Tamandua tetradactyla: one gene and its partners. The protein of the gene in region 1 interacts with the protein of each later gene in a pairwise test. Links are inferred from orthologs where the notes say so. Each region holds a gene or a part of one and is shown on either strand. Other genes may lie near its edges.

The links.
Region 2: the proteins of CREB3L1 (region 1) and FXYD6 interact in binary tests that used the Homo sapiens proteins (3 or more experiments, as listed by UniProt). The two-hybrid records come from large-scale screens. The link is inferred for Tamandua tetradactyla from reciprocal best matches to the Homo sapiens genes CREB3L1 and FXYD6.
Region 3: the proteins of CREB3L1 (region 1) and PLP1 interact in binary tests that used the Homo sapiens proteins (3 or more experiments, as listed by UniProt). The two-hybrid records come from large-scale screens. The link is inferred for Tamandua tetradactyla from reciprocal best matches to the Homo sapiens genes CREB3L1 and PLP1.

What each region holds. Positions count from the first base shown.
Region 1 is NC_135334.1:122,993,293-122,997,036, forward strand, and holds the start of CREB3L1 (cyclic AMP-responsive element-binding protein 3-like protein 1), read left to right. Parts: upstream 1-1,591; 5' UTR 1,592-1,678; coding exon 1,679-1,780; intron 1,781-3,744.
Region 2 is NC_135334.1:22,810,905-22,814,648, forward strand, and holds the start of FXYD6 (FXYD domain-containing ion transport regulator 6), read left to right. Parts: upstream 1-814; 5' UTR 815-1,040; intron 1,041-3,744. UniProt on the Homo sapiens protein: Associates with and regulates the activity of the sodium/potassium-transporting ATPase (NKA) which catalyzes the hydrolysis of ATP coupled with the exchange of Na(+) and K(+) ions across the plasma membrane.
Region 3 is NC_135353.1:70,063,238-70,066,981, reverse strand, and holds the start of PLP1 (myelin proteolipid protein), read right to left. Parts: upstream 2,582-3,744; 5' UTR 2,474-2,581; coding exon 2,413-2,473; intron 1-2,412.

The DNA of each region.
Region 1 (3,744 bases):
TGCGCTGCACTGCTGGTGAAGGCCTCCCCAGCGCAAGGGCTGTGCCCCAGTCTCCCAGGAGCAGCCTGTGCAGGAGGGCTGGGGGTGCAGCCACATGACAGCCTGGGGGGTCGGAACGCCGCCCTCCGAGCTGTGTCACCTGGGTCATGAGACTGGGGAGCCACGTGCCTGCATGCCGCGCCAGGCTAGCGAACAGCCACTGCTTGGCCTCAGGGTGAGCCCTTCTCCCACCTTGGCACCGAGCGCATTTCTGGGGACAGTCACGGCTTAACTGCAGTGACATCTCTACCTCTTAAAGACTCTTTGGTTCTGGAGCTAATTAAAAGCTCTAAGCAGGGAGGACACACTTAATCCCATTAATGACTCCTGGACAGGAAATGGTGTGCCCAGCCCTCGGAGGGACAGCCTTCCAGAACCACCTCCATTTGTTCAGGTGCCTGTTGATTGTTTATCAGCCCTTTTAAGAGATTAAGCTGCACACAGGAGCGGGCCATTTTGGCAGTGGCTCTGGGCAGGGGTTCGGGTGACCTGGAGGGTGCAGTCAGCATCTCAGCCCTGAGACGCCAACTCCCTGCTCTTCCAAAGCATTAAGGGGCCTTGGTTCATGAGAAGGGGGTCTTTGCCCCCATCTGCACTCTGCAGCCAGCCCTCTCCTCCGCGGGGAAGTGGGTGCAGCACCCACTAAGCAGGACCTCCCTGTCCAGTCCACGCTTGTCGGTCATGGCACATGTGCAATGACAGAACCACCTCAGACTCTGTGGAGGTGAGACAGATGTCCTGACGGGGTAACTGCTCCCGCCTGGGGTCAGAGAGGGCTTCCTGGAAAAGGAGACAACTGAGCTGAGAAACAAAAGATGAGAGTTAAGACGCTGAAGCCCTCCCCACTGGGACAGCTGTCCAGGGACCTTGAAGAGGAATTCCCTGACTTTGAGTATGCTTCCGGCTTTAGCTTTCTGGAAAAATGGAAATTGCTCTCTCATCAGCCTATGGAAGAGTGGTTGGCAGGGCCACAATAAAACGCTGGGGCCCCAGGAACACTGCTATCAGGTCCCGGAAGCTTCCCCGCGAGCCCGCACCTTGGGCGTCCAGGGGAGAGATCGGCTGGCGGACTAGGCTGCGGCTGTCTCTTTAAAAGAGGAGGCATGGGCCCCCAAACCACGCCCCTTCATTAATATTAAACTATGATGAATATTGATGTTGGGGGCGTGGCGCCCCGGCCAGCTGGGCTACTCAGCCGGGGGTTCCCGGTTTCACCCAGGAAAGTGACAGAAGCCGCTCGGAGGGGGACACAGAGCGACACAGAGCGCGCGCGAACGTCCGGCGGCCGCCCAGTCTCGGGGGGAGCGCTCAGCTCCCCCACCCCCGGCTCCCACCCTGTCCGGGGGGCCCCTCCAGCCCGCGTCCCCAGCCCTGAGCTCCCCATGGAAGCCAGCCGTGGCCCGGGAGGGGCAGGAGGAGTCGGCTAAATGCCCGCCGTGCGCCCCGGGCGCCTGAGCCCAGCCCGCCCCGCGCCGCTGCCCTGAGGCCCCGCGCCCGCCACCCCGGGCCGCGCCGCCCCCGCCCGCCGCGGACCTGCCCCCCGCCCGCTCGCCAGGGCTCAGGCCGGAGCTCGGGGCTGGGCGCGTCGCCGCCCTGGAGTGAGGCGAGCCCCGCGGACGGGGTCCCCGAGCCGGCCGCGATGGACGCGGTCCTGGAGCCCTTCCCGGCCGACAGGCTGTTCCCCGGATCCAGCTTCCTGGACTTGGGGGACCTGAACGAGTCGGATTTCCTCAACAATGCGGTAAGGCCAGGGGCCGCGGCCGCCTCCCTGCGCCCCTCTCCGCCGCGCGCCTGGGCCCCTCGGGGACACGCGCCCGCTCACCGCCCGGCGGGCGCTGGGGAGGGGGCTGGGAGCAGGGCCTCCCGGGGGGACACGTGCTCGGAGCGCCGAGAATTCGGGACCAAGTCCCTCGACGCCTCCCCAGACCCCGCGCCCGGACGGGAGCCTGTGGGGTCGCCCCGGTGCGCGCCCCTCCGGGGTCTCGGGCGTGGAGGCGCCGGCCCCGTTCTCGAGGGCAGGCGCACGTCGAGGCGTCACGGCTGCCCGATGCTGGGACGGAGTTCCGGAGACACCAACCCTCCCGCCCCCTCTCCCAGGCGTTCCTCACCCTCCCCGGGCTTCCCGGACGAGACGGGGCGCCGCGGCAGCGCGCTTCCCTGCGCCCCTCTGGGGCCTCGCAGCCCAGCGCACGGTTCCCCGCTGGGGGGCGCACAGGGGAGCGCGCGGCGCGGACACCGGTCCCGGCCGGCCCCGAGCGCCCAGCAGCCGTGCCGCCGCGGGGGGCAAGCCCGATGAGGTCCCCCCTGACTTGGCTGGCCAGGGCAGCTCGGGGTGACGTTCCGGGGGGCAGCCCGCCCTCCCCATCTCCGCGACTCTAGGTGACTGCCCTGTCCCTCGGCCCCTCGACCCCTTGCTGACCTTCTCCCCCTGTGTCTTCTGACCATCGCTGTGTCTGGGCTCGCCCTCCTCTCTCCTCTCTCTCCCGCCCCCTCCCTCTCTAAGGAAACGTGGCCTCTCTCCCTTCTTCCTTCCTTCCCTCCCTCTCAGGCTGGGCCCCGAGGCCCCGATGGGGGAGGGGCATGGGCTCAGTGTCCGGAGAAAATATGTGGGTTCCCCTGGGGCTAGGGGCACGAAGTGTGGGCTGCTTGGGGAATCCAGTGGGAGCCCCACCTCGTGTGGTCCTCCGGGGCCTCCACCTCCTCAGACTGAGAAACTTGGCCAGACAGGAGCCCAGTTCGTAGAGGCGTAAAGAGTTCAGAGAGGCCAGGCCTGGGCATCCCCGCCTTCCTCCTGAACTGTCCCAGGCCACTAGAGCGATGGTGGGGAAACTGAGCCAAGGGCCAGGGACCTGGCTCAGGGGCATGGGGTGTGAGGTCTCCTCATTCTCCATTAGGCAGCACCCAGCGCTCACTGCCCTCTGGAGTGAGAGTGGAGGAGGGGAGAGACCTGGCGGGGCTTCCAGCTCTGGCTCGGCCGCTGCCTGCCCGTGAGCTTGGGCCACACCATTCACCCTCCTCTCTGGGGCTCAGTTTCTTTGTCTGTAAAATGGGGCAAAGGGTCCATCAAGTCTTTCCACAGATGGTTCCAGTACTAAGCTGGACACATTCCCTACAGCTCTGAGTAACAAAGTGGCTGGGATATAGGGGTCCAAGCACCCACCCTGGGGATGGTAAAAGGTGCTGGTGAGAAGGAGGGGGTTGCTGGAACTTGCACCTGGCAGCCAGGGGAGTTCCCTAAGGGCTTCCCCCAGCCCTTGGCAGCTCTGCACTGGGCTTTTTTCTGAATGAACTCTGTAGCCTGCAGCCTCTTCCTGCTGCTCCATTCAGCCCTGTGTCCCCAGCTGCTCCTGGTCCAGCGTAGGAGAGGAGGCGCAATTAGACAGCGGTGTCAGCGCTGGGGTGCTGGGGAGGGAAAGCCCTGCCCGAAAGGCTCCTGTGCCTCCAGGCAGGCAGCGGGACAGACAGAGTGGTGGCCTCAGGAGATGCTGGTTCTAGCTGTGCTTCTGCCACTAGGGGCCAATGCCACCCATATCTTCCTCATCTGAAAAGTGGGGATATTAGAACCTTTCCATCGCATGTGGTACAGATTTAGTGGGACAAAAACAATTGCCATAAAGACTTAGCATGATGCCTGGCATCATGAGTCCACAGTCATCAACTGGTTCCAGAGACTGGATGGGGGTGGGAGTGAGGGACAGACCCAGG
Region 2 (3,744 bases), about 100 Mb from region 1:
CACTCATGAGGCCAGTATTATGATTGTCATTTTCACATGAGGAAACTGAGGCTCGGGAGGTGAGGTCAGTGACTAGTCGAGGTGCCAACACAGGTACCAATGGAGTTGCAGAGCTGGGATTTAAATATTTGTCATCCTCAATCTTCAGTTCCAGGCTGGGGAGGAGTGTAACCTCCATCTCCAGTGCTGTGGCCTGGCAGGGCCAGGGTGGGGGGCTTGAAGAGGAGGTCCTGGGCGGCAGGTCTGTGGTCAGGGCGAGGTCCCTGCTCCCCAGCAAGCACCCTATCTGGCTCTCGCTGAAAATGACAACTACAACCAGAGCTGGCTCTGGCGCCTACGACACAGCCATTCATGCTTTTAGTTCATTTTCCCCTTAATTGCCAAGGCTCACAATTAACGTGGGTTGCTGTGTCTGCTGCTGGGTTATTTCCTTTTATTTTTCTATTCCCCTCAGTTTACTACTTCAGAGAGACACTAGCTCTGTCACTGCATCTGTCTCACTGCTCCCTGCCCACCCTCACCAGGGGAAAACCAAAAAACAACGGCTTATAGCAAATCAGCGCTGGCACTCGCGTGCCCTCTTGGAAGCAGCCTCCTGTTGCGTCTCTGAGCTTGACCGTCCTTTGAGAAGCTCACTCCTTTGCACCAGAGGAGGGGAAGTTACCGAGCCTGGAAGCTGGAGAGGAGCGGAGAGGGAGGGAAAGGGTGGAAAGAGGAGGAGAGAGGAGGGGAGAAATAGGGAGGGGAGCGGAGGGGACGGGAGGGGGTCTGCACGCTGTTGCTACCCAGAAGCCATCAGACAGCTGACACCCAGGCATCTGGCCCCAGCCCCGTGGCGTGGAGGGAGAGGGAGCGTCCGCCGGCCACTCCCCTCTCCAGCTGGACGCGCCTCTCCTGCCCGCCCCAACTCTTAGGAGGAGGGGAGGCGGGAAAAAAGCAAAAGCCTCTCCCACCGCCCTGCTGCCAGCCCGCCACTCCCAGCCTCCTCCGGACTCGGCAGGTCCTCCCGGGAGTGCCTTGGTGGGGGCCGTTCTGTGCAGGTAAGGTGCTGGGGAGATGGGCAAAGTTGAGTTCTTTGAAGGAAGGAGGCTCAGGCGTCAGCGGATCCTCGGGATCGGGGGAACAGCGGGTTTTGTTTGTTCCTGTGGCGTGTGCGGTGCTCCTGGGCGGATGGCCCCTCGTTCTCCCGGGCAGCCTGAAAGGGGTCTGGGGGTGCAAGCAAGGGATGGGTATGGGAGAGCAGGGGCCCCCGTGGGGCCGCGGGGGTGGAGCTGGTGGCAGGGAAAAGCTCTTGTGGTTACCTGGGGCTTGGGGCAATGGTTTTTAGAAAGGGAAAGGGCTGCTCCCACCCAGGTTTTTATCCTGAGGGAGTTTTCCTTTGTTATTTTGAAGCCTAGAGACTTGGCGTGGGGCGTGTGAGGATCTGAGAATAAGGGAGTGTGACTGACTGTTCACACTCACGTGAGCAATACAGAATGGAATTTGGTGGCTTGGTGCTGGGGGTGGGGCGCTGGGCAGCAGGGAGGTGAGTGGGCTTCCAGGGCCTAAGGATGGAGGAGAATGTCTGCCTCGATTTTCCTTTCCTTCTCCTCTCTCCAAGCGTGTTTTCCTTCCAGGGGCCTGGCCCACCATCCCCTCCTCTCCCTCACTTTGCCCCCCTCGGGCTTGCCCTGCCGCTGCCGCCCCCGCCCCGTGTTTCTGGGCCCCCGCCCCGTGTTTCTGGGCTTCCATGGAGAGTTGGGTGAGCAGCCTGTCTTGGGAGCTTTCTTCCGGCTCTTACAAGTGGTGGCTGGTGGACAAAGCCCCCGAGGGTGGACGTGAGGGGCAGCCCCCGCCCTGAGAAACGGGTCAACCCAGTTTCTGTGGGGGTGGGGTGCGGTGGGAATGGGGGGCTGTAGCAGCTGGATGCCCTCCCCCTCACACACAGTGTGGCCTCTGAGTCCACTTCCTTTGTCTCCTTGGCTTCGTGCTCTCGGGCTGGGCCTGGATTTCCAGGCTTGCAGCTGGGTCCGTGGGCAGCCCCTGCCTGCTGTGAAAGGGCCCCCACTCCGGTGGGCCAGCCGCCCTCACATTGTGGCTGTGGCTGCGACTGTGGCTGTGGTTGTGCTTCCGCAACTTAGCCTTTTGCACGTGACCCGCCTGGTAGTTGCCATGGAAACTGCGCCCCATTTCTCAGCCTCCCTCCTTTTCCTGCCCATTCCTCACCTCTGTCTCTCTCCCCTCCCCCCAATATGGTTGCCTAGATACTGGTTTTCCCTGGCTTCACTGGGTGGGAGACCCAGGACACCCAGCTCCCAGCCCCCTGCCACACACCCACCCACACTCACACAAACTCTAAGCATACTCTTCCACATATGCAAACATACCACACCACCCATGCACAAACACATCCTCTCACACACACACTGTGTGCCCTGCTTGTCACACGCACTCCTTAAACACCCTCACGAACACAGCGCACACACACATCACACCACACGCCCACCACACACAGACCCATCCACGCACACGCCCCCGTGGCACGCCGTTGTGCCTGCTCTCACACACACACACCTCAACAATGACACGTAACACTGCCTCCTCAACACATACTCACTCCCCACTTTCTCCGTCTGAAGGCGAGGGCTGTGGTGAGGAAGGGGGCGCCGGGGAGCCCAGTGTGGGGGTGGGTCAGAGTCGTGGAGGCTCTGGATGCCCAGGGGAAAACCCCATCCTCTCCCTGGAGCCCTGGGGAGGGAGGTAGAGGAAAAGGCACTGCCAGCTTCCCTCTGAAGAGGAGCCCCTCTGCTGGGTGCTGGCCTCCAGAGAGGCTGGGTGGACCCGAATCCCGCCTCCACTGCAGGTCCCCGAGAAAGCTGAGACTTGTGTTCTAGGAGCTTGCACCTAGCCTGAGTCTTCCTGCTCTTAGAGGGTAAGGCAGGCTGGGGGGCCATCAGGAGGCTCCCAGTCCCCAGAAAGGAGGACAGCACAGCGAGACAAAGGGAAAAAGGGAAGTGGAGAAGAGGGGAGAAGTCAGAAAGGGGGAAGAAGAGAAGGCGCGTGAGTTAAGGAAGAGGAAGCAGGGCGACCTGCCCCATCTGGGGTTCACACCAACCCTGTCTGCCCTGGCACATTTTCTTGCTTCCTGCTGGTTGAAGCAGTCTTACAGAGGGGTCCTGGGCGCCAGGGGTTTTCCAAGACTTGTGGCTTTGCTGGCAGTCAGGTGGTGGAAGCCTGAGGGAAGAATTTCCTTCCTGGCCTCCAAGGGGAAGCAGGGCTCATTGCATTCCATCTTTCAGTGAATTCTCTTGGGTACCTATTAGGTGTTAATGGCTGGAGACCGGACTGCGAGGAGACACCGTCCAGGATCTATGAACCCCAGATTTCTCAGAGCCCAAGGGGACCTTGAAGGAACATCCCATCAGGACAGTGCAAAATGGGGAAACTGAGGCTCAGAGGTCACATGGCCCCCCGTGGCTGAGGACTTCTGACTGCACACTACCTGACTGGCACCTCCTGGTGCCTTCTTTCCTTTATTATCATCAGTCCTCTGGAGACTGGGACACTCCTTCAAGAGTGCGGTCCTGTCGTGGCCAGGGAGGGTCTGGGGAGCGTCCTCCACTGTGTCTCCCTGGAGGGCGAGACTGAGGGTGTTGCAAGGTGAGGGGAGGAAGGTGCAGCTCTCAGACCCCGGAATCAACCCCCCCCGGAACCCCCTGTAAAGCAGAATACCGCTCCCAGCCCTGCAGGGACGCTCTGGCTGCC
Region 3 (3,744 bases), on another chromosome or scaffold:
AAGATTCTCAGCTCTAAAATCTCCCAAGTCCTACCAGTGTTTGGGACTTTCTAGGAATGGAAGGGAGGAAGAAGACACACAGTGACTATTCTCAGGTCCTCAGACAAGGCAGCCCCAGAAGAAAGGCACTGTAGTAGGGGTTGAGAACCAAAACAGCTGAACCCACAGCCTGTCTCAGGGTCCTGAGGCTAGCAGAAAAGGTGACCTGAGTATGGGGATAAAGTCAGAGGAGAGTGTCCAGCTGCTTCACGTGCAGGGCCATGTGGCCTCCCAGTGGGCAGATGGCAGGTGGTCAGCAGTAGCAGCAGAAACAACAGCACCTGGCCAGTGTGGACATCCTGCAGTAAAGTCACGGACTTCTGCTTGCCCCAGCACCACTACCAGTCTCCTTGGATTTTCAGAGGCTGCTTAAGCCACCTGCTCAGGCAGCCTGGGCCTGCTCCCCTGTGTGGGGGCAAGATGGCCTCTGTTCCTAGGTTAAGGGCTTCTTCCTGCTCAGCCAATTCAAGGAAGCAGGACTCTAGGAGTCCAGGGAGTGGTTGTCACTGACCTTCCCCCACTCTGGTTCCATGTTAGCTCACCCTGGGCTGCTGGCATCATGGTATTGGGGTAGATAGCCTTTGTTTCTAAGTCAAATAGCCCTGGTTTCATATCCTAGCCTTGTCACTTACTGCTGTATGATCCTGAACAGGTCTCATCTCACTAATCCTTGGCTTACTCATATAGATGGAATGGAGATAATAATAATACTTACCTGAGAGGACTGATGGGAGAACTAAACAAAATAAGGTACATGAGGCATTTAGCATGGTACCTTAGATATACTTTTTTATTATCAATGGCTAATGCATAGATTTACTGGGAAAGAGGAGCCCACTGACTCAGAGATGACTACGACCCAGGACAGCAGTCACCCTGCCTCCTAGCTCCACAGAGCACCAGTAGCAGCAGCAGTAGTAGCAGTGGGAGTAGCAGGGCTGGCTGGGGTGCCTGTTGCAGTGACGATGGCAGGATGGAGCTGGAGGCACATGGCCCAGCCAGGAGTCCAGACTGAGCCCTGCCCTCTGCTCCCAAGGCTTTGCTGAGCTGATGGTCCCTAGTCCATGCGTTGGCTGGAAAGCGGATAAGTAGGCATGTGGAAGGGGCTTTGCTGCTCTAAGATGGAATATGCTTGTTAGGGAAGAAGGGGGCTGGCTTTTAGGTTAGGCCAAAGCACACTAGCCCCTTCCTCAAATCAAGTTGTTAGGGGGCAAAATGGTGGGAGTTGATCTTTACAGCATGGCCACCCTGCTGGGCCCTGCTTCCCCACCTATTTCATTGTCAAAACATATTCACTTGCTCATAGTTGCCACAGCCCTGAACTAAGATTCAGCACAAAATCTAGCCTCCTGCTGAAACAAATGCCAGAAACCAAGCCTCTTTCCCTAGAAGCTGGTCCTAGATCCTGTACATCCCAGCATGATGCCCAAACAACTGAAACCAACTCTTAAAGATGTAGATTGTCTTCAACCCTTCCCATCCTTGGCTAGGTCAGATGCATGAAATGTTGCTGCAGCTATGTTATTTCCAATGAGTCACCACTCTTCTTTGAGTGCTTTCATGGCACTTTCAGAAAGAGAACACTAGATGAGGCCTCAGCCCTGGGTTTGAGTCCTGACGCCATCACTCACTAGCTTCGAGACATTGGACAAGTCACTCTTTCTCTTAAGGCCTCACTTTTCTCATCTGTAAGTGGAGATACTAATCATCACCCCCATCACACTGCGAACTGTGAGAGTAACAAGACGTAATATATATGACAACACATTCCTAGGCCTAACTGGTGAGCGACTGTGTTAGCTGACCATTTTCGTTCTCCTAATTTTGCAAATGGGCATCCAGAGACCCATCCTTTCCTATCCTCCTGTCTGATGGGGAGATGGTGGGATTGGAGGTTGAGGGAGCTATGATAGATGCAGAATGCATCTGGCCTCAGACTTCTTTACCTCTCCTGTCCAGGATCACCTTAGCAAAAGAGGAAGTCAAATCTGGGACAAAGGATGTTCCCCAGCCCATGTCCCCCTCTGATTTCCTGGACAAGCTCATGGGGAGAACATCTGGTTATGATGCCAGGATTCGGCCCAATTTTAAAGGTAAGGAAAAGTCATCCCAGAAAAAGATCATCTTCCCCTATCCTTTTGGAGATACAATATCCAACCATCCCTTACTCCGTGCCCCAAGGAAAGGAGGCTGGAGGTACAAGGCTAGCTCTTCCAGCTTAGAAGATGCCTCCGCTCACCATTGCCCATGGGCCCATGTAGCTGACACTGCTTCTGCCAGCAGTGTCCAGCCCTGAAGCTCTGTGCGGGATTCCTGAAACCTGCTCCTGGAATGCTCTGCCAATGGGCTGTGCTTTGCTGCCCTTAGGCCCACCTGTGAACGTGACCTGCAACATCTTCATCAACAGTTTTGGATCCGTCACCGAGACCACCATGGTAAGGGCATGCACTCTAGGGTGAATGGGAGAAGCCTATCAGATAGCAAACATTTCCCCTCTCTGCTATCCTTTCCCTGTTTTGTGGACATGGCTAAAAACATAGGATGCCTAAAGTTGGTCACTAGGAGGACACCTTTCCCCAGCCCCAGGTTTCCATGGCTAAAGAGAGAGAAAACTAAGCAGCAAATGGGTGAACTGTGTGAGCTAGCTTGGTAAGGAGCACAGGCTTTGGAACCAGACAAACCTGGGTTCAATCCTTACACTATTATATAATAGCTGTGCAACCTTAGGCAGGTTACTTAAATCTCCCTTTGTCTTAATTTTCTTATCTGTAAGATGGAGATCATTGCAGAGTTGTCCTTACAGGTTTAGTATGAGTTAAATGAGATGATGCATATGTAGAACGCACTTAGCAGAGGGCCTGGCATATAGCAAGTGCTCAATAAATATCTTTTTCCTTTCTATCATTGCCATGTCAGCCCAAGGCAGGCCCTTTCTCCAGTGGACACTGTCCACTGGACATGCCTCTGAGACATGTTCCCAACATTTCCTCTTCATGGTTCTCCTGCCCATGTAGACTTGCTAGGCCCCTGGGAATAGCATTGCCTCTGATGTATCCATCTCTGCATCTTCCCAGGACTACCAGATGAATGTTTTCTTGAGGCAACAGTGGAATGACCCACGCCTGACCTACCAAGAGTATCCTGATGACTCACTGGACCTTGATCCCTCCATGCTGGAATCCATCTGGAAGCCTGATCTGTTCTTTGCCAACGAGAAAGGGGCCAGCTTCCATGAGGTGACCACAGACAACAAGTTACTACGCATCTTTAAGAACGGGAATGTGCTCTACAGCATCAGGTGCAACTGATGGTCAGACAAGAGAGTTTGGGCCAAGGGGGAGAGGCCAGTCAGAGGCTGAGAGGTGGGAGGACGGTCCCCTGTTCTGTACTGGCCCCCAGTAAACTGATGTCAGTTCTTTCTTTCTGTCCCCATAAGGCTGACCCTCATTTTGTCCTGCCCAATGGATCTCAAGAACTTTCCCATGGACATTCAGACCTGCATGATGCAGCTGGAGAGCTGTAAGTGCCCCTAGAGAGTAACAGGCTAGGTCTAGAACACCAGTTAGTTATTCCCATCCCCTATTCCATACAAGGAAAGGGGAACCCAGAGTGGGGAGGGACTTACCCAGAGACACACAGCCAGTTCTTGGCACAGATGAGACTAAGTTAGGGCTCCCTAAAGCCCAGTGTAGTGTATTTTCCCAT